Arabidopsis thaliana: one gene and its partners. The protein of the gene in region 4 purifies or fractionates together with the protein of the main gene of each other region. This does not show direct contact. Each region holds a gene or a part of one and is shown on either strand. Other genes may lie near its edges. The genes, in order: CSY3, CSY2, CSY1 and PAB3.

Region 1 (5,296 bases), on a different chromosome or scaffold from region 4:
TCAAGAAGCATTCCTTATGGTGGACGAAATCTTACTGAAACTAAAAAGAACACGATTCAGAAGAGTTTCAGGTAACATGTCCTCAGTATCTATATATCTATATGGATCCACTTCTTTATCCCCCAAACTTGATCGGTTTGACGGATCATGTCTTGTATAGTATATCTGCTCCAAAGAGGACTGGCTTATCCGCTAATGCGCCTTCAACTTCAAGAAGCGTTCCTTCTGGTGGACAAAAGCTACCTCCAAGGAGGATCAACGGCCTTCCTGGGACTGCTCCTTCAACTTCAAAAAATGCAGCCACCAGACAAAAACATGTAATGTAACTTATATAGCTTTTTTACAGATCATTTTTTCTTCGAGTGTATCATTTACATGGCTACTTCAAGTTTCAAGAACTCCGAGTTTTGAAACTCTGGCTTGATGATATCCTAGTTTGTAACAATAGATCTTCAAAAGTTTTTACAATGATTTAATAAAGTGCTTTGTTTTCTACTTGTTGCTTTGGCCGAGATATTTCACAACAAACGTCTCTGCAGAAGCATTCGATATAGAAATTAGAGTAATAATCCATAACCATAAATCATTTTATACAATAAACACGTTCTGATAAGAAGACAAACAAGGCGGACAAACACCCTTAGAAGATGGATTGAAGCAAATATAGATCAAGTCTATATTGTGCCTACAAAATGAGAAATCTAAGTTTCGAGTATGATCAAGTATCTTAGCTTTAGGCTAGAGAAACCAATCTCTTTTATTCTTTGCGGTGTGGTTTGATGTATAGTATGGACCCTAAAAGGGCCTACGTCTAAACTGAAGATCCAGCCAAACGTCTTCTTGATGCATTTGAAGTCGCGACTTGACCCAATTTGTCTGACTCTTTCGAGTCATCCGTCACTATTCTCTCTCTCACTGGTGTGTAATGCCTCAGCCACACGCCTGTGTACACCTGCAACATTTAATATTCCAATGAACCATCCAAGTTTCAAATTGATCCAAAGAAAAATCTTTCTCTTATTATTCTTGGAAAGAGATTAACTATACCTGTTGTGGTCTCATGATCTTGGTGTCAGGATCATCCAGTGACTCTTTCCAATGTGACAAGTATCCAGCCATGCGAGGAATCGCGAATAAGACCGTGAAGAACTCCGGTGGAAATCCCATTGCCCTGTTGTAATGGTCCAAGTTTGCAGATTTAGATGAAGTTGAGAGGAAGTTATGGATACTGCACATGCATTCAAACTTTTACCTGTATATTAATCCAGAGTAGAAGTCAACATTTGGATACAGCTTTCTCTTAACAAAGTAATCGTCAGAGAGAGCTGCCTTCTCAAGTGCAACAGCAACCTGCAGACATCAGAATCAAACACATTGGCTTTAAGGAAACATGAAAAATTACACTAAATCGAAAAGGTGGGCATCAAGTTGTAGTATAAGCTTGAACTTCGTGGACATAGCGTACCTCAATTAGAGGATCCTTTCCAACAATGGAAAATACTTCATCAGCCAGGTTCTTGATGACTTTAGCTCGAGGGTCATAGTTTTTGTACACACGGTGTCCAAAACCAGACATCTTCCTCTTCCTAAGATGTCAAAGGGATGAGAATTTTAATGAAAAGACTTGTCACAAACCTCGGAAACGGAAGCATATAGTTTCAAGAATTGATTTTACCTGTTCTTCACACCCTCAATGAACTCTGGAATATTTTCAACAGTCCCAATCTCTGACAACATCTTAAGCACAGCCTAATGGAACCAAAGACATGAATTTCAAAGACCATGGAGCATGAAAATACATCAGAAGATGTAACATATGAAGACATGAGAATAAATAGCATACCTCGTTTGCACCACCATGAAGTGGACCATAAAGCGCTCCCACAGCTCCAGCAACAGCAGTGTAGACATCAACACCGCTACAAGAAGACATTTCCTAATCAATATATCTCCTATCAAGGTCACTAAGATTCCAACCAAAGATAAGTACCTAGAGGCAAGATGCCGAGCAGCAGCGGTGGAGCAGTTCATTTCATGCTCTGCATGCAGTATGAAGAGGATGTCCAACACCCGAGCCAGCCGAGGATTAGGTTTGTAGGATCTATTTCCCCTGTAAGAAGTGTGTTAATGGCACGCTACAAGTTATGTACACAGTAAAAAAATAACTAGGCTTCAAGTTCTCTGAAGCGTCAAGATCTAAAACTAAATCTAAAAGTTGAGTTTCTAACTAATTCAAGAAGAAAGAGATAGCAGAGACATACAGGGAATCAAGCATATAGAGGAAATTATCTGCATAAGGAAGGTTTCCTGAAGGAAGAACAGGAGGCCTTCCTGCCATCCTCAGATAAGCAGCTGCTGCAATTGTTGGTGCCTGCACAAATCGCAAACACGTTTAGTTGCATCAGATCTTCATGAAATTCAGAGTCCAAATATGTTTATGCGTGACACAATATAGGAAGAAGTAAGGTAACCACTGATAACAAAAAAATACCTTTCCAATAATGCGGATAATTTGTTTATCTCTAACTTGTTTTGAATCGTAAATATCCTGGCCCTGCACCCAATAGAGTATCAGTCAACATGTTTATACGGACAATTTCAAAAGAGCTAAAACTAGCGAGTGACAAGGCCTGACATGTTGTTAGAGAAGTAATATAAGGTTAAACCTACCCTAAGAGCAGGATTAGCATCAGGATGAAAGATGGAAAGCGCACTCATTGCACTCACAAGAACTCCCATTGGGTGTGCATCATGAGGCATAGACTGTATAATATCCTGCACAAAAGTTATCAAGTAAGTGGAGTTAGATATGAGAAATATATAGCTTTGAGTACAGCACACAATCCTCAGAACAACATGTATAGAACAGTCTTGACAAATTATTGTTCGACCAGACAAGAAAATAGGCTACTAGTAAAGAACAGGCTAACTCCATTTTACAAATCGAAATTGAAATCCATCAACCAAGGATTAGAGACTCACTAATACACCTTGTGGCACAGCTGAATGCTGAGAAACTGCAAACTCCCAATCAGATAGCTGACTTTCAGAGGGCAGATTCCCATACACTGCCAGAAAATATAGTAAAGGAGAAAACTTTTCATCAATGTCCAATTCGATACACATAACACTTGAAATTGTGTAGTAAGGTTAAAAGGTAAAACACTTACTGAGAAGATAAGCCACCTCCAGAAAAGTACTGTTCTCAGCCATTTCCTCAATTGGGTAGCCACGGTAACGAAGGATCCCTTCATCTCCATCGATGTAAGAAATCGAAGATCGAACAGGAGCCGTGTTCAAGTAACCTGGATCGTATAACTTAAGCCCCTTGTCTTCCTTCCCCGTCACTATCTGCAAGCCAAACAACACGCAACAAAGCAAATTCTCAGCTCAAAATCCCACAGTGATAGGAAAATGGTCATTTAGAAAAAGGGTTAAACCTTTTTGAAATCAACGGCTTTAACGGTACCATCATCTGAGACCGGAACTTTATAATTTTTTCCGGTGCGTTCGTCGACGATCGTCAGTGTTCCCTTCAAAGATCCAAGCGGTGCGACACTCGTATCCGCCGACGTGCACCATCGCTCGATCGCTGGAGAATCCTGTTTTCCTTCCGATAAATGACCTGAGAGAACAGCTAATCGAGCTCGAACTCTCTCTGATATCTCCATTCAACCAAAATCAAAATTCAAAGAAGGAGAGAAGAAGAAGAAAGGGAGCGAAGAAATTATTAGAAACCATTCTTACTCTTCGTTAATATAACACGTGTCTTATCCCCTGCGGTCAGGAGTATTGAACAGTATCCACGTGTATGCGATCTAACGGATATCTTGATATCCAACGGCGTAAGCCTTATTGACCCAACTTGGACTAACGGTGATGATCTTCTCCATCTCTAAGCTGTCAGAATTATGTGGGACCCACTTATCAGTATTATCTAGTTAGTCAATTGCTTTCCTCGATTTGCTAAATATCAATTCGATTGCTACGCAATGCTGAATGGGCCGAATTGTCTTAATATGGGCTTCTGTATATTCATCTTTAGGCCCAACAGTATACCACTTTTTATTTGGGCCTTTTTTGTTGATACGGCTCGCTTTACCATCGGAACCAACCCAACATTCATTTTTCGAACTATGACTGAAATCTTATTAAAAAAATGAATGTAAAGCTAAATATGGATGTTGCGTTCAAAATAAAACTCATGAGTTTATGGATGTTCTTCATAAATTATAGTTATCATTAATCAAAAGATGGAAAATACAAACGGTTATTTACTCTTTAATGTTAGTGTACGAGGCTATTAATCTTATAAGTTGTATTTATGTATTATATTATGGAGAATGAATAGGTCTAATTACGTTTTAAAAAAAAAGCATGGAGGAAATGAGAGTGAAAGGTATAATAAATGACATGTTAAAAGCGACGGGTCGTATATTTTGATTCGTACCTAAAAATAGAATTCTAAGTTTACCCCACGTGAGGCTCTGAATCTGAGAGTGATAGATTTTTCTTTCCCTCCTTCCGTTTTCAACACATGATGACATGAACAAGGAACTGTTCCTTTTTTTTTTCTTTAAACATTATCTGCAACGGTGATCACTCACTCAATGATATCTTTCATTTATAACTTCACACGTCTATAAATTAAATTTGTTCATAGGATCTACAATAACACAATTAACATCACTTGTGTTTTTAAGTTATTCAAGCAGAGGCATAGTAATTGATAAAAATAGACAACAAGAAAGCATTTGAAACAAAATTACTGTTGTAAACAAAGCTTTTTCACGGTAATGGAATTCCGAAATAAAAATATATAAAAAAGAAAGTGACAGAGGAAATGTGTGAGAGAGGCAAAGGAAATGCAATATTTGCAGGAAGAAAAAAAGCATGAGAAAAAAGTAGGTGTGGATTTAGACACATGACTGACAAATTATATTTTTCTAGTTTCTCCTCTATATGGTGGTTTCTGCGTTTATCATGTTTAAATATATTTAAACCTTTCATTAGTCACATCACATCCCAAAAATGTGTACGATAATAAAAAGATTGTTTATATACCAAAATTAATTGGTTTACTCAATCATCTTTTTAATTTTGGTCATTTGATACGATCAATCATAGGGTGTCCTAACGTTAAGTTCGATGACGCTGCTACCTCTTTTGAGCGTACCATTCAGGGTCCTACTCGGCTACTCCTACATAATGAATTTAGCAAATAGCAGTTTAAAAACAAATTACGTTAGTTGATTAAGATAAATAAATTAGCTTAACACAAATTTGAAATGGTTAG
Region 2 (6,044 bases), on a different chromosome or scaffold from region 4:
ATAGGCATGCATGGTTTTATAGTGGGGAAATTTGATAATTTCATTACGTAACACTTTTGTCTTAATACTTTTGTGGGTATGATTGGCGTGAATCTACAGTGTCTTCTTTGTCTTCAATCAGAGTTTTGTGGCTTTTAACCAATTTTAAGTATGTGTCTCTGCGACAGTTATGTATTGTTTTGGTTGCTTCTTACTTCTTTCTGTTAATCAGTGTCAGGTACTCCAGGGTTTGTTATTTAACGTCACTTTTCTTTTATATTTGTTCACACTTCTCACAATTGTTCTCATTTGAAATGGAAATATTATTGGCAATAATGCAAAATGATAGGAAACTTTCAGGCAAATTATAAATACCGTACAAAAAAATATGATATGATGTTCAATGAGTGGTTAGCTTATTGTTATCACTTGGAATCTGCATAACATATTCACCCTAAAAATAACATTCAGTTAATCCTAAATGATATGATTTGGTGGTTGACATTTTCCAAACCAATGTGTTAGACATGTCTTCAGAAATTAACATTAACAGGAATAAAAGCGCAATTTATCAAAAGTACATGTCGTTCCCTATAACAAGATTATTATTATTAAATCATAACATTTTAAAATAACAGACAAACAATAAGAATAGGGTTGTATTATTAAGTGTTTAAGAATAAGAGAAAGAAAACAACACATGTTGTTGAGAAGACTCTCTTGTTTTCCCAGAGGTATCCCAATGTTTTCTTCTTTATTGGTGAGTATTAGGATTGAGACTAAAGGGCAGATGATCCAGCTAAACGCCTTCTTGATGCATTCGAAATGGAAACTTGACCAAACTTATCCTTATCCGAATCACTTGATAACGTTCGTTCTCTCACTGGCTCGTAATGCCTCATCCACACTCCAGTATAGGCCTATATGCAGCCACACAATTCAGTTAGCTCAAACTATAAACCTTTTGATCTATCAAACAAGTTATGTATTTTACCTGTTGGGGTCTCATGATCCTAGTGTCAGGATCATCTAACGACTCACGCCAGTGTGACAAGTATCCAGCCATACGCGGGACTGCGAACAGGACTGTGAAGAATTCTGGTGGGAATCCCATTGCCCTGTGTTTTTCCCCCATTTCAATTACCAACACAAGGTTCAGGTAAAGAACTTAATGGTTACAGGGTCTATGTCAGATGAATCAGCAATGTCTTACCTATAGATTAATCCAGAGTAGAAATCAACATTTGGGTACAGCTTTCTCTTAACAAAATATTCATCAGACAGTGCCGCCTTCTCTAGAGCAACTGCTACCTGAAAACATCATCCGTCAAAACAAAATTTAACCCACAGTCATGTTATATAAGAATTTTTTTGACAACCAAATACTAGGAGAGATACGTGAGCACAAGGATCTACAGTACCTCGATGAGAGGATCCCTACCAACAATGGAGAACACTTCATCTGCCAGTTTTTTTATAACTTTTGCTCGGGGGTCATAGTTTTTGTAAACACGATGTCCAAAACCTGACATCTTCCTCTTTCTGAGAACATAGAAAAGGGATATAACATTACCGGCATGACTCACCACAATTCAGAGTACTTGGTGCTTGTAGTTATTAAGCATTGAGTTACCTGTTCTTCACGCCTTCAATGAAATCTGGAATATTTTCAGCAGTCCCAATCTCTGCTAACATCTTAAGCACGGCCTCGTTCGCGCCACCATGAAGTGGACCATAAAGCGCCCCAACAGCTCCAGCACATGCGGTGTACACATCAACACCACTGCAGAAACACAATACTGATTTAAACACTCAAAGAAGTCTAAATGAATATCTCTAATCAGTGATAACTGATAAGTACCTAGAGGCAAGATGCCGAGCAGCAGCAGTAGAGCAGTTCATTTCATGTTCAGCATGCAGTATGAAGAGGATGTCCAGCACTCGAGCCAAACGAGGATTAGGCTTGTAAGACCTATTGCCCCTGTAATCAATTGAAGATTAAAGAATGTATCCTGTGTTACAGACACGTTTGAAGCTTGAAACAGATTTAAACTGACTAAAGAAACACAGTTTTTCTGACTACCCTTTTAAAATGCAAGTGTTAAATCAAATAAAGACAGAAGAAAGAGGGGAAAGTACATTGAATCCAGCATATAGAGGAAATTCTCTGAATAAGAAAGGTTGGCCGAAGGAAGAACAGGAGGCCTGCCTGCCGTCCTCAAATAAGCAGCTGCTGCAATTGTTGGTGCCTGCAAACACGTTGTAAACCCTTTTTCTAGTCCCGCAACTTATACACAGATACGTTAAGGAAACAAATCATCAACAGATAGAACAATACCTTTCCGAGAATGCGAACAATCTGTTTATCACGAACTTGTTTTGACTTGTAAATGTCTTGGCCCTGCACCCAATGAAAGAAAATCGAGTTGGCATAGCCATTTTCAGAAAAAGGCATCTTGACAGTACGAAAAGAACAGGATTTCAAAACTTACACTAAGAGCAGGATTTGCATCAGGGTGAAAGATAGAAAGTGCACTCATGGCACTCACAAGAACTCCCATTGGGTGTGCATCATGAGGCATGGACTGTATGATATCCTGCAAAAACATTCAGAAATCGTCTCAGATCAAAAATCCATAGAAAATTCTTTTACTAAGCATATACACATAACTATATTCACAACGGCGAGTAAGACATAAGGTACTAATACTAGAAAGAGATCCAGTATCCTTAATAGACATGGTTTACAAGCAAGACAAACAACTTGTACACTTGACAAGAAATCATTTTCAAAATCCCTCTTTGGTTTGGATTTGCATTCTGATACAAAGTTTGGAATTTGCACTAGTATGAAAATCCAAATAACGAAAGAGTAGAAATTTCACCAATACTCCTTGTGGCACAGCTGAATGCTGAGAAACAGTGAACTCCCAATCAGCTAGCTGACTTTGAGAAGGCAGATTTCCATACACTGGAGACAAAAAAAGGGGAATTTTAACACGACACTAAGAGAGACACAATTTTCAAGACATTTTCTTTTCCACAAGTAGACGCCACAAAAGTAAAATAAGCAACAACAACAACAAGAATAAGCAACGAGATTGATAAAGACTTACTGAGGAGATAAGCAACCTCAATAAAAGTACTGCTCTCAGCCAACTCTTCAATTGGGTATCCCCGATAACGTAAGATTCCTTCATCTCCGTCGATGTAACAAATCGAAGATCGAACCGGAGCCGTGTTCAAGTAACCAGGATCGTACAACTTCAGCCCCTTATCATCCTTCCCCGTCGTTATCTGCACACCAAACATGCAAATCCATCAAATTCCTTATCATATTCAGGGAAAATTAGGTGAGACGAATCAAAATTCAGATAAAACTAACTCGATTCCACAATTCTGTTCAGGATTACAAATCCGTTACATACCTTCTTGAGATCAACGGCTTTAACGGTACCATGCTCTGAGACAGGGACCTGATATTTCTTCCCCGTACGCTCATCGACGATCGTCAAGTTTCCTTTGAGTGATCCATGAGGTGCAGCGGTAATGTGAGCCGATGTACACCATGGCGCGATCGCCGGCAACACCTGTTCCAATCCGACGGTATCAGACACCGCCAAATGCGCGGTGAGAACGGCTAATCTAGCTTTCACTCTCTGCGAAATCTCCATTTCTTCCTCTCAAAAAATTTTAAAAAAAATATCTGAATTCAATTTCAAAGGAAGGAAGCGAAGAAGAAGAAGAAGAAACAATCTTGCGGTAAGTGACTTGGCTTTTGTATCCTGCATTTGCTAATTTTGGTAGTAGCTGATATTTTTATTCTCTGCGGGTAAGTGTATTGAAAATCGGATCCATTGTTTATCCAAAGCTCGACGGTGATAAGATTATTCAGCTTAGATCAACGGATAGAATTGTTCGTCAAAAACTAATATGGAAAGTCTAAAGAGGCTTATCTGTCAAGTTTATCAAAGGATTAAGACTTTCGTTTCTGAAATCCACCCGGGCAAGGGCAGTGAAGACTACGCGCTCAATGAGAATGACAGGTGGAAGAACACGAGCGAGTGTCTTTCAGACGCTATGTAGATCGAGTAGAAGTCGATTGGCGTCCTCGGATTGCTAAATAACTATCTGGTTTTCGATAATGGGCCAACTCATTGGTCTCACATTGAGAAATTTAATTTCCCTAAGTGTATTGATCGGCCCATTAGCTCTTTACGCCTGGGCTGATGACAATAGTAATAAGAACAAGGGAAATGGTCCAATATCTTTGCAGTTAAAATTTATGAACATATGGAAATTTTATATTTGTAGCACAAAGATTCACCAGTAAGAGGCTGGTAATACACTGCATTGGGTCACAACGGGCCGGTCCATTAAACCCAATTAACTCTTATGTATGAGAAGGAACTTAAAACCCCATTCAGTTTTTGATGGACTTGTGAACGCTGCTACTAAACCAAGGTCACTTCTCAGTTCTCACAACACATATGTTATGTTTGCAAATTAAATGCAGTTTTATAATTTTTAGTATTTAACTGACTATCCCAAATTATTTTCAAAATATCTTTGAAATTTAAAAAGTGATTCAATTATGAAACCTCCACTCACACTTTTGTACCATCCTTTGCTTTTGCACTAATCAAATTTATTTGTTTGTTCAGTTAAATTGTTCAAAAAAGGAGAAAGTTATGTCCAACAAAAAAGAGAGAAAAAAATGCAATTAGCCTTTTAATAAAAAAAGGAGTAGTAATTACAAAAAAAAATGAAGTACTGTAGATTATGATGAGTAGGGAGGAGGAAAACGAGTATGATACTTCACCCGCATTAAGAGGCAAACCCTTAAAGCCTGCTGATTGGTTGGGACTTTTTTTTCTACTTTTCTTTTTCTTTTCTGTTGCTGCCGTTACAGTTCCATTTACAGCTCATATTGCTTGCGGCAGAAAATTCTCACCAAGTCCTCTGTTGAACATGACGATTAAGCCTAAATCGCCGGCGAGATTCAAGCTAGGTAGGCAGTCTTCGCTTGCGCCGGAATCAAGAACCCCGATTGATACGTTAACGGAAGATGAGGACGACGACTTGGCTGCGGCGGCTACAGCTGGGATCGGGGATCCGACGATTCGTTTAATGTATTTAGCCAACGAAGGTGATATCGATGGCATCAATAAGATGCTTGATTCGGGTACTAATGTTGATTACCGTGACATCGATGCCCGTACTGCTCTTCACGTCGCCGCTTGTCAAGGACGAACCGATGTCGTTGAGCTGCTGCTTAGCCGTGGTGCTAAGGTTGATACGAAGGACCGATGGGGTAGTACGGTATGAATTCGAACTTTCTCTGGGCTGAATTTTGTTTGCTTTGCCTGACTTGACTTCTCGTAGACTCTTTAGTTCGTTTTGTGTTCGACGAATTGCCGCACAAATCATATGTTTTACTGGAGCACTTAGATTTAGCAAACTCGGTTGCAATAACAGTGATGGTTAACAATTTGTGATTGATCTTACCAGCCTCTTGCAGATGCAGTGTATTACAAAAATCATGATGTGATTAAACTTTTGGAGAAACATGGTGCTAAGCCTACGGTATGTGTTTATCCCTCATAGTTGCATTGATGGATGTTTTAGTTTCTGAATGTTTGGATTGATTTCTTTAATAATCGTTTCTGATTTTAGATTGCTCCTATGCATGTCCTAACTGATAAAGAAGTTCCAGAGTACGAGATTCATCCTACAGAGCTTGATTTTTCCAACTCTGTCAAAATTTCAAAGGTAAGTAGTTCCCTTGCCCAAATTTATTTGTTGCTGTTTTCACTTGCTTTTATTTGCTGTTCACAGTTGTAATTACTGTCTGTCTGCTTTACAGGGTACCTTTAACAAGGCTTCATGGCGTGGAATTGACGTGGCTGTTAAAACCTTTGGAGAGGAAATGTTCACTGATGAAGACAAAGTGTGAGTCTACATCCATTGATTTCTTTGTATTATTGTATTAATCATGCTCTAAAGGTTTTCATATCCTTCTGGTATCCAGGAATGCATTTAGGGACGAACTTGCACTGCTTCAA
Region 3 (5,169 bases), on a different chromosome or scaffold from region 4:
TACAAGCACCAAGTACTCTGAATTGTGGTGAGTCATGCCGGTAATGTTATATCCCTTTTCTATGTTCTCAGAAAGAGGAAGATGTCAGGTTTTGGACATCGTGTTTACAAAAACTATGACCCCCGAGCAAAAGTTATAAAAAAACTGGCAGATGAAGTGTTCTCCATTGTTGGTAGGGATCCTCTCATCGAGGTACTGTAGATCCTTGTGCTCACGTATCTCTCCTAGTATTTGGTTGTCAAAAAAATTCTTATATAACATGACTGTGGGTTAAATTTTGTTTTGACGGATGATGTTTTCAGGTAGCAGTTGCTCTAGAGAAGGCGGCACTGTCTGATGAATATTTTGTTAAGAGAAAGCTGTACCCAAATGTTGATTTCTACTCTGGATTAATCTATAGGTAAGACATTGCTGATTCATCTGACATAGACCCTGTAACCATTAAGTTCTTTACCTGAACCTTGTGTTGGTAATTGAAATGGGGGAAAAACACAGGGCAATGGGATTCCCACCAGAATTCTTCACAGTCCTGTTCGCAGTCCCGCGTATGGCTGGATACTTGTCACACTGGCGTGAGTCGTTAGATGATCCTGACACTAGGATCATGAGACCCCAACAGGTAAAATACATAACTTGTTTGATAGATCAAAAGGTTTATAGTTTGAGCTAACTGAATTGTGTGGCTGCATATAGGCCTATACTGGAGTGTGGATGAGGCATTACGAGCCAGTGAGAGAACGAACGTTATCAAGTGATTCGGATAAGGATAAGTTTGGTCAAGTTTCCATTTCGAATGCATCAAGAAGGCGTTTAGCTGGATCATCTGCCCTTTAGTCTCAATCCTAATACTCACCAATAAAGAAGAAAACATTGGGATACCTCTGGGAAAACAAGAGAGTCTTCTCAACAACATGTGTTGTTTTCTTTCTCTTATTCTTAAACACTTAATAATACAACCCTATTCTTATTGTTTGTCTGTTATTTTAAAATGTTATGATTTAATAATAATAATCTTGTTATAGGGAACGACATGTACTTTTGATAAATTGCGCTTTTATTCCTGTTAATGTTAATTTCTGAAGACATGTCTAACACATTGGTTTGGAAAATGTCAACCACCAAATCATATCATTTAGGATTAACTGAATGTTATTTTTAGGGTGAATATGTTATGCAGATTCCAAGTGATAACAATAAGCTAACCACTCATTGAACATCATATCATATTTTTTTGTACGGTATTTATAATTTGCCTGAAAGTTTCCTATCATTTTGCATTATTGCCAATAATATTTCCATTTCAAATGAGAACAATTGTGAGAAGTGTGAACAAATATAAAAGAAAAGTGACGTTAAATAACAAACCCTGGAGTACCTGACACTGATTAACAGAAAGAAGTAAGAAGCAACCAAAACAATACATAACTGTCGCAGAGACACATACTTAAAATTGGTTAAAAGCCACAAAACTCTGATTGAAGACAAAGAAGACACTGTAGATTCACGCCAATCATACCCACAAAAGTATTAAGACAAAAGTGTTACGTAATGAAATTATCAAATTTCCCCACTATAAAACCATGCATGCCTATATATCACTTTGAACTACAACAGCCACTTGGTTTCTTATTCGCTTCCCTTTCTTGAATTGTGATCTTTTTGAGGTGACAAATGGAGATTTCGGAGAGAGCTAGAGCTCGATTAGCCGTTCTCAATGCGCACTTGACAGTATCTGAGCCGAATCAGGTGTTGCCAGCGATCGAACCATGGTGCACATCGGCTCACATAACCGCTGCACCGCATGGATCGCTTAAAGGAAATTTGAAGATCGTCGATGAGCGTACGGGGAATGAATATCAGGTCCCAGTCTCAGAGCATGGTACCGTTAAAACCGTTGATCTCAAGAAGGTATATATAATGAGTTTTTATGCTGAAGTTATTTCTTCATTGTGGCCATTAGTACTACGAATAGATTGTTTTTTGTATATTGTGTGAGTGTGTATAAATGGATTTTCATGTTTGGTGTGAAGATAACGACAGGGAAGGATGACAAGGGGCTTAACTTATACGATCCTGGTTACTTAAACACGGCTCCTGTTCGATCTTCGATTTCTTACATCGATGGAGATGAGGGAATCCTACGTTATCGGGGATACCCAGTTGAGGAGTTGGCTGAGAAAAGTACTTATACAGAGGTTACTTATCTCCTAAGTAAGTCTTGATCATCTTGTATAGCTCATTGTTGTTGCTTAATTATGATCATCTTGATCATCTTGTATAGCTCATAGTCTTGCTTTTGTGTGGGTATTTCTTTAAAATTTTGTCTCCCTTAGTGCTCTAGTTTACTACTGCTTTTTTTGTTTTTGCATGCAGTTTATGGGAATCTGCCTTCTCAAAGACAGCTAGCTGATTGGGAGTTTGCGATTTCTCAGAATTCAGCTGTGCCACAAGGAGTATTGGTGAGTTTCTTCTACTCTTTCCTAACTTTCTCTAGATCTTCGAGGTGAGATGATTTATCTGAATGTTTTCACAGGATATGATACAGTCCATGCCTAATGATGTACATCCAGTAGGAGCTCTTGTCACTGCAATGAGTGCACTTTCCATCTTTTATCCTGATGCAAATCCGTCTCTTATGGTAAGTTACGTTTTTATAATCCTGCTTTCTTCTGAAAATTTCCACGCCGACATGGAAATCCCCATTTGGTGCAGGGCCTAGGTGTTTACAAGTCAAAACAAGTTCGTGATAAACAGATTGTTCGTGTTCTTGGACAGGTATTGTTCTGTCTGTGTGATTTGGTGCCTCAATGTATAACCGGACTATGAATTATAATATAACGTGTCTGCAGGCCCCAACAATTGCAGCAGCTGCTTATTTGAGGAAGGCAGGCAAGCCTCCTGTTCAACCTTTGAGCAACCTTTCTTATTCAGAGAATTTCCTCTATATGGTGGAATCAATGTACGTTATTGTCCCTCTTTGTTTGATTTGGAGATGGTAGCCATAAAACTGTGCACTTGTTTAGTCTCATCTTCCATTGATTACAGGGGAGATAGGTCTTACAAGCCTAATCCTCGTTTGGCTCGAGTGCTGGACATCCTCTTCATACTGCAAGCTGAACATGAAATGAACTGCTCTACTGCTGCTGCTAGGCACCTTTCCTCTAGGTACTACTTATCATTGGTTAGAGATTCATTTGAGTCTGCTATGAGATACTTTTTAATCAGCACATAAATCCTCTGTTTATGTAGTGGTGGTGATGTGTATACTGCTGTTTCGGGAGGTGTTGGAGCCATTTATGGTCCCCTTCATGGTGGTGCAGTTGAGGCTACGATTAACATGTTATCAGAGATTGGGACTGTTGAAAATATTCCAGAGTTCATTGAAAGCGTGAAGAATAAGTAACTCAATTCTTAGAGAGTATACCTAGAATGTGATGGTCAATATTCCATTAATGTTAACTCTTTTTATTCCAGGAAGAGGAGGTTGTCGGGTTTTGGACACCGCATTTACAAAAACTACGATCCCAGAGGAAAAGTCGTTAAGAAACTGGCGGATGAAGTGTTCTCCATTCTTGGAAGGGATCCTCTGGTTGAGGTACTCTGTATTCTTGTTGCTCACGTTTCCTTGTTGAATCCTTCATATGTATGATGAATTTGGTTTAAGAAAATATTTGGTGTATAAATAATGTTTTCAGGTAGGAGATGCTCTAGAGAAGGCGGCACTTTCTGATGAATATTTTGTTAAGAGAAAGCTGTACCCAAATGTTGATTTCTACTCTGGATTAATCAATAGGTAAGACATTGATTAGTTATCTAACAAATTCTGACTAATGAGTTGTTGTAACCATTGAGTTCTTTCTTTATTTGAATCTTTTTTGTTGGTAACTGAAATGGGCCAAAACACAGGGCAATGGGAATCCCATCATCATTCACCGCAGTATCACGTATCGCTGGATACTTGTCACACTGGCGTGAGTCTTTAGATGATCCTGACACAAAGATCATGAGACCCCAACAGGTAAAATACACCTTTAATATATAAGTGACTTTGTTTAGATAACATTGGCTCATGGCTAATAAAGACACTTTTTGATAGATCAATGAGTAATTAAGTTTTCTTTTTTGCTCATGAGATTATACATTATGCATAGATACATACACTCTTGGATATATTAATGACTTGAACCTTCTTCTTTTTTTGGCTCATGAGTAATACAATTTTTAATGGATATATGCAGTTTTTGAATAGATCAAAAGTTTTTTTTGGCACAGGTCTATACTGGAGCGGGGATAAGGCATTACGAGACAGTGAGAGAAAGAACCAAGCTGTGATTCGGATTTGGATCAGTTGGGTCAAGTTTCCATTTCGAATGCATCAAGAAGGCGTTAGCTGGGTCAAGTCTCGTTCCTATACTACTAATATGAAATTTGACTCGGAAAGCCAAGCGAATATACAAATATATATAAAGAATATATATGCTTATATAAAATATAGTTTGGGTAAACCCCATCCGACCTCGAGTTAGTAATACATGTGTGTGTGTCTATGTATGTATAAGTTGTCAAAATAAAATAAAAATATTTGTGTATTATAGCATGTTTTTAAGAATATGATGTTGAACAATAATCATAAAGTGATAAAAACAGTTCAAATCTAAATTAAATATAACCGAAACAGTAAGAAGATAGTAGACAACAAATCAAGATGAGATTGGTAATTGAACATATATGCAGCAATAATGACGAAAACCAAAAGGGTCTTCTCAACAATGTGTGTTGTTTTCTTTCTCCTTATAGTTAAAACACTCAATAATCTACATACTATTGAATTTGTTTTTCATTTGTTTGTCTGTTATTTTAAAATTTATGATTTAAAACATATCTTAAGTATAGTGGTTCTATAATCAATTCCATCTAATAATTAAGTTGGTATAGGAAATTAAGACATAACTTTTGATAGATATTGTGCCTTTTGTGAGGAAAGTTCTAAAAGAAGATCTTCTTATTCTTCTTTAGTTAATATAACACATTGCTTTAGTTCTAAGATTTTTTATATATCACACATTGATTCGGAATAATTAGTTAACCACCAAATCATATCCTTTTAAAAAAATGTCATACAATATAGTGTTGAATGAGAGATTATTTTCTCCTCAACCATTTGGAAAC
Region 4 (5,951 bases):
CCAAAATAGTTTAATATCTCTATTTATAGTAGAAGAAAAATAACTAGCTACACAAAATATCGGAGAATGCATGATCACACATGTCAAGCATATTAGTGTATCCCTAGCTATACGAAGTAGATGTATTGTATGACCACATATCTGAACTATACGACGTCATGTAGTTAACACCACAGACATGCAATTCCGGTACACTAATAAATTTACTCCGTTGAAGACCAGTGTTGACCGGCATAGTTGAGGATACTATAGTATAATTGGCATGGGTAAATTAACTAAAAATCATCAATCCATTTATCATAATCCAAATTCTGGTCAAAAGAATCTAAAAATAGTTTCATAAAAATAGTTTCATGTTTCTGTTTACAGTAATAAAATTGATATCTTAGTCATGACCAAATCAATAGCCGCAAGTTATGCTCCCAAAAATTAGCTGTTCATCTTTTACTCCAATCAAAAACATAAAAAAAAAAAAACAATTACAATTTCTATTCTAAGTAAATGTTAAATAAATTTATTAAATTTTACCTCCTAAGACTTCAGTGGTTACACTATTAGAAAATAATTAGATTTGTGTGCCTAAAAGCCTTAGAAGCATGCATTTTTTATGAATAAATAAATTTAGTATTGATTTCGGTATAGAAAATGAAATTAGCAAATTCTTGATATGTGTAACTAAAATAAAATCTTATGTAAAAAACAGAAGCGATAAAGGCAAACATAATTCAAAACTGCGACCAATTCTTATTATCAAAGATTTATGAAACACCAATTAGCTATTAATAGTAAAAATCAAGTGACACTTTCCCTATACTAAATTGTTAATTGTTCGGATTTATAGGCTTAGCTAGTTAAGTATAAATATTAATCCACACTCTTCACACTAATTCAATTTTATCCCTAATAAAAAACTTGAATCTATATATGTGTATCAATATATGTGTATGATATTTAAAGGGGTTTGTAGTCTATTGAAATAAATAAAAGATTCCATTATCCATGATTTTTAATAAGTTACTTCGTAGCATTACTAAACCTATTTACATCATCAACAATACAACTGATTTAATTTCAACTAACTAAAAAATTACCAATTTATTTATCATAAATTCATAATCTAATATCTGGTCAAAAGAATCTAAAAATAGTTTCATGTGTCTATTTATAGTAATAAGATTGATATCTTAGTAATGACCAAATCAATAGCCGCAAATTTTGCTCTGAAAAATTAGTTGTTCGTCTTTACTCTAATCAAAAACATAAATAAAAAATCACAATTTTTATCCAAAGTAAATGTTAAATCAATTTATTAAATTTTAGCTCTTAAGACCTCATTAGTTATATTATTAGAAATTAATTAGATTTGTGTGCTTATAAGCCTTAGAAGCATGCATTTTTTTATGAATAAATAAATTTAATGTTGCTTTCGATATAGAAAACAAAATTAGCACATGCTCGATAAGTGTAACTAAAATAAAACCTCATGTAATAAAAAAAGAAATAAAGGCAAACATAATTTAAAACTGCGACCAATTCTTATTATCAAAGATTCATGAAATATTCAATTAGCTATTAATAGTAAAATCAAGTGACATTTTATTTATACTAAATTGTTAATTGCTCGGTTTTATAGGCTTAGCTAGTTATGTATAAATATGCATCCACACTCATCACACTAATTCAATTTTATCCCTCTTTACTCTTCTTGATAATCGGAGGAAACTAAAAAAGGAAAAAAAAAAATCTAAATAAGAATAAAATTCCTAAAAAATAAATAAATCAAAAATTGTGAAGAAACAAATCCTCGAGTCATGTTGTTTACAGAAAATCTCTTTCTCACTTAAAACCCTTACAGAAACAAATCATCGAATCTTTGTTTTTTTAGAATCAGTGATTTTGTTTCCTTTCACGAGACGAAAATAACAAATCGTCTTGTAAAAAGTAAACTCATAATCATGGCGGCGGCGGTTGCCACAGGTGTTGCACCGGCGACAATGGTTGATCAAGTTCCCAGTCCGACGGCGCAGACTTCGGTTCAGGTTCCGGTTTCAATACCTCTTCCATCCCCGGTCGTGGTAGCCGATCAAACCCACCCGAACTCGTCGCTCTATGCCGGTGATCTGGACCCGAAAGTTACTGAAGCACATCTATTTGATTTGTTCAAACATGTTGCTAATGTCGTCTCGGTAAGAGTTTGCCGCGATCAGAATCGTCGATCTTTGGGATATGCCTACATCAATTTCAGTAACCCTAACGATGGTAAATACAATTCTATATCGCTTCAATTGCAAGTTAGGGTTCATGTCTTGCAAAACAAAATATATATATTATCATGAATTGCATTACAATAAGAAAAAGTGTTTTGATTTGATTTTTTTCAATCTCAATTTTTTATTAGACATGGTAATTAATTTTGATCAGTATCATGTTCCTGTGCGAATCATCTTTTTTTTTGTCTAGAAATTAACATATAATCAATATTCTATATTGTAGTTCATCTCTACTATACCATGATTCTGCTACATTGATATGTTTCGTTTGAATATCAAAGCTACAACATTTATTTTAGTAGTTGATGCATCAGTCTCTTATATTATGATTTTTCTTAATTAGTTCAATTTAATACGTGAAATTTGTTTGAAATTGTTCTTTCAATCTCATTAATTGTAGAAACTATAGGTATTTGTGCATTTATAAATATCATAGATGCTGGTTTTCTATAATGAATTGAGATCTTATTTGCCTATGTTTATATGTTGATTTATGTTTGCAGCTTACCGTGCAATGGAGGCCTTGAACTACACTCCCCTCTTTGATAGGCCCATTCGGATCATGCTTTCGAACCGTGACCCAAGCACGCGATTGAGCGGCAAAGGAAACATTTTCATCAAAAACCTTGACGCTTCAATCGACAACAAGGCCTTGTTCGAGACGTTTTCAAGTTTTGGAACCATCCTCTCATGCAAAGTTGCAATGGACGTGACTGGCCGGTCCAAGGGGTATGGATTTGTCCAGTTCGAGAAGGAGGAATCGGCTCAAGCCGCAATTGACAAGCTAAACGGAATGTTAATGAACGACAAGCAAGTTTTTGTGGGACACTTCATCAGACGTCAAGAGCGTGCTCGTGATGAAAACACCCCTACACCGCGTTTCACTAACGTGTACGTCAAGAATCTCCCCAAGGAGATTGGTGAGGACGAGCTACGAAAAACGTTTGGTAAATTTGGAGTGATATCGAGCGCAGTTGTAATGAGGGACCAGAGCGGAAACTCGAGGTGTTTCGGGTTTGTGAATTTTGAGTGCACTGAAGCAGCGGCTTCGGCGGTTGAGAAGATGAATGGAATTAGCTTAGGGGATGATGTGTTGTACGTTGGGAGGGCGCAAAAGAAGTCTGAGAGAGAGGAAGAGCTAAGAAGGAAGTTTGAGCAAGAGAGGATAAACCGGTTTGAGAAATCTCAAGGAGCGAACCTGTATTTGAAGAATCTTGATGATAGTGTTGATGATGAGAAACTCAAGGAGATGTTCTCTGAGTATGGAAATGTGACATCCTCCAAGGTAATAATTAATTAAAAACTCATACATATATTCATAAATATATATGTTGTTGATGTTACGTTGTCTTTGACACAATCCTTTAACTAATGTAGGTTATGCTTAATCCACAAGGAATGAGCAGAGGATTTGGTTTTGTTGCTTATTCCAATCCTGAAGAAGCTTTAAGAGCCGTGAGTTACTAAAACTATAATATATTCTTCTTTTATTGTTCGTCTCTTTTGATATCTGAGAGATTGTTACATATGAGACAATGCAGCTGAGTGAAATGAATGGGAAGATGATCGGAAGAAAACCTCTATACATAGCTCTTGCGCAGCGCAAAGAAGATAGACGAGCACACTTACAGGTTTTTTAAAAACTCTTTTAACATATTTAAAAGAAATGGGTTTGTTAAAGCTATATGTGTGACTAAGTACATAAGTTTGCAATTTTTTCAGGCGTTGTTTTCACAGATTAGAGCACCAGGGCCAATGTCAGGGTTCCATCACCCGCCAGGTGGACCAATGCCCGGTCCACCTCAACACATGTACGTAGGCCAAAACGGAGCAAGTATGGTCCCGTCCCAGCCCATTGGATATGGATTCCAGCCTCAGTTCATGCCCGGGATGCGTCCAGGTTCTGGCCCGGGCAACTTCATCGTGCCTTATCCGCTTCAAAGACAACCTCAGACCGGTCCTCGTATGGGATTCAGGCGTGGTGCTACTAACGTGCAACAACACATCCAACAACAACAAGTATGTTACTAAACTGAGTCTGTTTATAGTTTTCAACAATCATGAAACTGAGTTGGATTGAATATTGACAGCTTATGCACCGTAACCCGTCCCCGGGAATGAGATATATGAACGGTGCGAGTAACGGGAGGAACGGAATGGATTCGAGTGTTCCTCAAGGAATCTTACCTCCTATCATTCCTTTGCCAATAGATGCTTCTTCGATCTCTCACCAGAAAGCTCCTCTCCTTCCAATCTCTAAGCTCACTTCTTCCTTAGCTTCTGCTAGTCCAGCTGATCGCACTCGGGTTTGCCTCTTTTCCTTCCATCTCAGCTAAACATTTCTTTGTTTTGCGTTTTCTTTTGCATTTGGTGTATAACTTTTGAATAATAAACCCTTAACTCTAAACATATGTTTTCAATTGTTGATGCAAAACCAAACGCAAAGAGAGGTCAGTCACATTTGCATTTTATCTTACAAAATATTTCCTGAATAACTGAAAAATGTTTTGGTGAATTTTGTTTCTTAACATCAAATGTTTGAAAGAATTATGGTCTTATAACAAATAAATAAAAGTTAAAGTCACATAAATATATAGTTGATAGAGATTGGCATATCTATATATTTATATGTTTACTGATTTTTATTTTTAAAAAATTGGTTGGGAACAGATGCTTGGAGAACAACTGTACCCACTTGTGGAAAGGCACGAACCACTTCACGTGGCTAAAGTCACAGGAATGTTGTTGGAGATGGATCAAGCTGAGATCTTGCACCTGATGGAGTCACCAGAGGCACTCAAGTCTAAAGTATCCGAGGCTTTGGATGTTCTCAGGCTATCTGTTGATCCAACTGATCATGATCTTGGTTTCTCTACCACCGACTGAAATTTGCAATGCGTTTGCTCAACTCTGTTTTCTTCTTTTAGTTTTGATATCGACTCCTTTTCTTTTCTTTTTTGGGTTTTAGTCTTCCTTTACTATTTTAGCAGTTTTTTTTTGTTTACTTAGTTTATGGTTTTTGTGTCTTTAACTTAGTTTATGGTGTTTTTCTTTTTCTTTGGACAATGATGATTTCTTAATAATCTGAGTAGACTTCTTCTTCCGAATCCCCAAATAATCCATCTCTACTTGAAATTTAAGTTGTTCGGTATTCATGGTCAGCAACAAGGGACAATCCTTCTATTATGGTAGCAGCCTTCTATTATGAATTTATTCGAATGTGTCTACTCATAATTTGTGGTTTGTATTTCAACTTGTAGTTGATATCAATTATATGCACACAGACTTTTTCTTTTTGAGGGGTTGGAAGCAAGCGATTCAATGATTGTACCACTCATTTCATAATAGTGTTTGATATGACGTTAATTTGAATGGTTTATGTTGATCGAAAATACTCTCAGTCACAACAAGAATCTAATTCGATTAATTTATTTGAAAAACATATGTTGGCATGGTACATGAACCAGCTCGTTCATATGAAAATATTTTAAAAAGTCAACATCAGTGCTAATTTCAAATTGACCATACATTAGCACACAAGAAGACTAACAAAAAAAATGAGTGAATAAAGAAGAGAGTGAGTGGGGTTGATACATGTCACCGTCCAAAATGTGTCTGACCCTTCTCATTGGAGCTACAAGAGCCGACCCTTTGCCTCATCATTTGTTGACTTCACTCTCC

What was found.
Region 1: the proteins of PAB3 (region 4) and CSY3 fractionate together in Arabidopsis thaliana (co-fractionation; one large-scale study listed by BioGRID). This does not show direct contact.
Region 2: the proteins of PAB3 (region 4) and CSY2 fractionate together in Arabidopsis thaliana (co-fractionation; one large-scale study listed by BioGRID). This does not show direct contact.
Region 3: the proteins of PAB3 (region 4) and CSY1 fractionate together in Arabidopsis thaliana (co-fractionation; one large-scale study listed by BioGRID). This does not show direct contact.

The regions. Positions count from the first base shown.
Region 1 is NC_003071.7:17,802,321-17,807,616, forward strand, and holds CSY3 (citrate synthase 3), read right to left. Parts: upstream 3,754-5,296; 5' UTR 3,672-3,753; coding exon 3,441-3,671; intron 3,352-3,440; coding exon 3,171-3,351; intron 3,069-3,170; coding exon 2,983-3,068; intron 2,776-2,982; coding exon 2,671-2,775; intron 2,555-2,670; coding exon 2,492-2,554; intron 2,372-2,491; coding exon 2,262-2,371; exon of another isoform or gene 2,111-2,261; coding exon 1,991-2,110; intron 1,920-1,990; coding exon 1,844-1,919; intron 1,750-1,843; coding exon 1,676-1,749; intron 1,587-1,675; coding exon 1,466-1,586; intron 1,351-1,465; coding exon 1,253-1,350; intron 1,172-1,252; coding exon 1,048-1,171; intron 953-1,047; coding exon 812-952; 3' UTR 521-811; downstream 1-520. Other genes in the region: AT2G42780 (transcription elongation factor B polypeptide), read left to right, coding at 1-71, 161-326. UniProt on the Arabidopsis thaliana protein: Peroxisomal citrate synthase required for the fatty acid respiration in seedlings, citrate being exported from peroxisomes into mitochondria during respiration of triacylglycerol (TAG).
Region 2 is NC_003074.8:21,723,806-21,729,849, forward strand, and holds CSY2 (citrate synthase 2), read right to left. Parts: upstream 4,333-6,044; 5' UTR 3,654-4,332; coding exon 3,408-3,653; intron 3,277-3,407; coding exon 3,096-3,276; intron 2,951-3,095; coding exon 2,865-2,950; intron 2,577-2,864; coding exon 2,472-2,576; intron 2,381-2,471; coding exon 2,318-2,380; intron 2,229-2,317; coding exon 2,119-2,228; intron 1,961-2,118; coding exon 1,841-1,960; intron 1,763-1,840; coding exon 1,613-1,762; intron 1,522-1,612; coding exon 1,401-1,521; intron 1,291-1,400; coding exon 1,193-1,290; intron 1,098-1,192; coding exon 974-1,097; intron 900-973; coding exon 759-899; 3' UTR 501-758; downstream 1-500. Other genes in the region: AT3G58760 (Integrin-linked protein kinase family), read left to right, coding at 4,762-5,301, 5,491-5,565, 5,656-5,751, 5,846-5,931, 6,011-6,044. UniProt on the Arabidopsis thaliana protein: Peroxisomal citrate synthase required for the fatty acid respiration in seedlings, citrate being exported from peroxisomes into mitochondria during respiration of triacylglycerol (TAG).
Region 3 is NC_003074.8:21,720,229-21,725,397, reverse strand, and holds CSY1 (citrate synthase 1), read left to right. Parts: upstream 1-1,607; 5' UTR 1,608-1,671; coding exon 1,672-1,908; intron 1,909-2,030; coding exon 2,031-2,211; intron 2,212-2,373; coding exon 2,374-2,459; intron 2,460-2,533; coding exon 2,534-2,638; intron 2,639-2,712; coding exon 2,713-2,775; intron 2,776-2,849; coding exon 2,850-2,959; intron 2,960-3,045; coding exon 3,046-3,165; intron 3,166-3,249; coding exon 3,250-3,399; intron 3,400-3,474; coding exon 3,475-3,595; intron 3,596-3,695; coding exon 3,696-3,793; intron 3,794-3,906; coding exon 3,907-4,018; intron 4,019-4,272; coding exon 4,273-4,332; 3' UTR 4,333-4,625; downstream 4,626-5,169. Other genes in the region: CSY2 (citrate synthase 2), read left to right, coding at 72-192, 303-400, 496-619, 694-834.
Region 4 is NC_003070.9:8,053,644-8,059,594, forward strand, and holds PAB3 (poly(A) binding protein 3), read left to right. Parts: upstream 1-1,681; 5' UTR 1,682-1,955; coding exon 1,956-2,259; intron 2,260-2,773; coding exon 2,774-3,555; intron 3,556-3,647; coding exon 3,648-3,725; intron 3,726-3,811; coding exon 3,812-3,901; intron 3,902-3,992; coding exon 3,993-4,289; intron 4,290-4,360; coding exon 4,361-4,576; intron 4,577-4,940; coding exon 4,941-5,156; 3' UTR 5,157-5,417; downstream 5,418-5,951. UniProt on the Arabidopsis thaliana protein: Binds the poly(A) tail of mRNA. Appears to be an important mediator of the multiple roles of the poly(A) tail in mRNA biogenesis, stability and translation. In the cytoplasm, affects both translation and mRNA decay.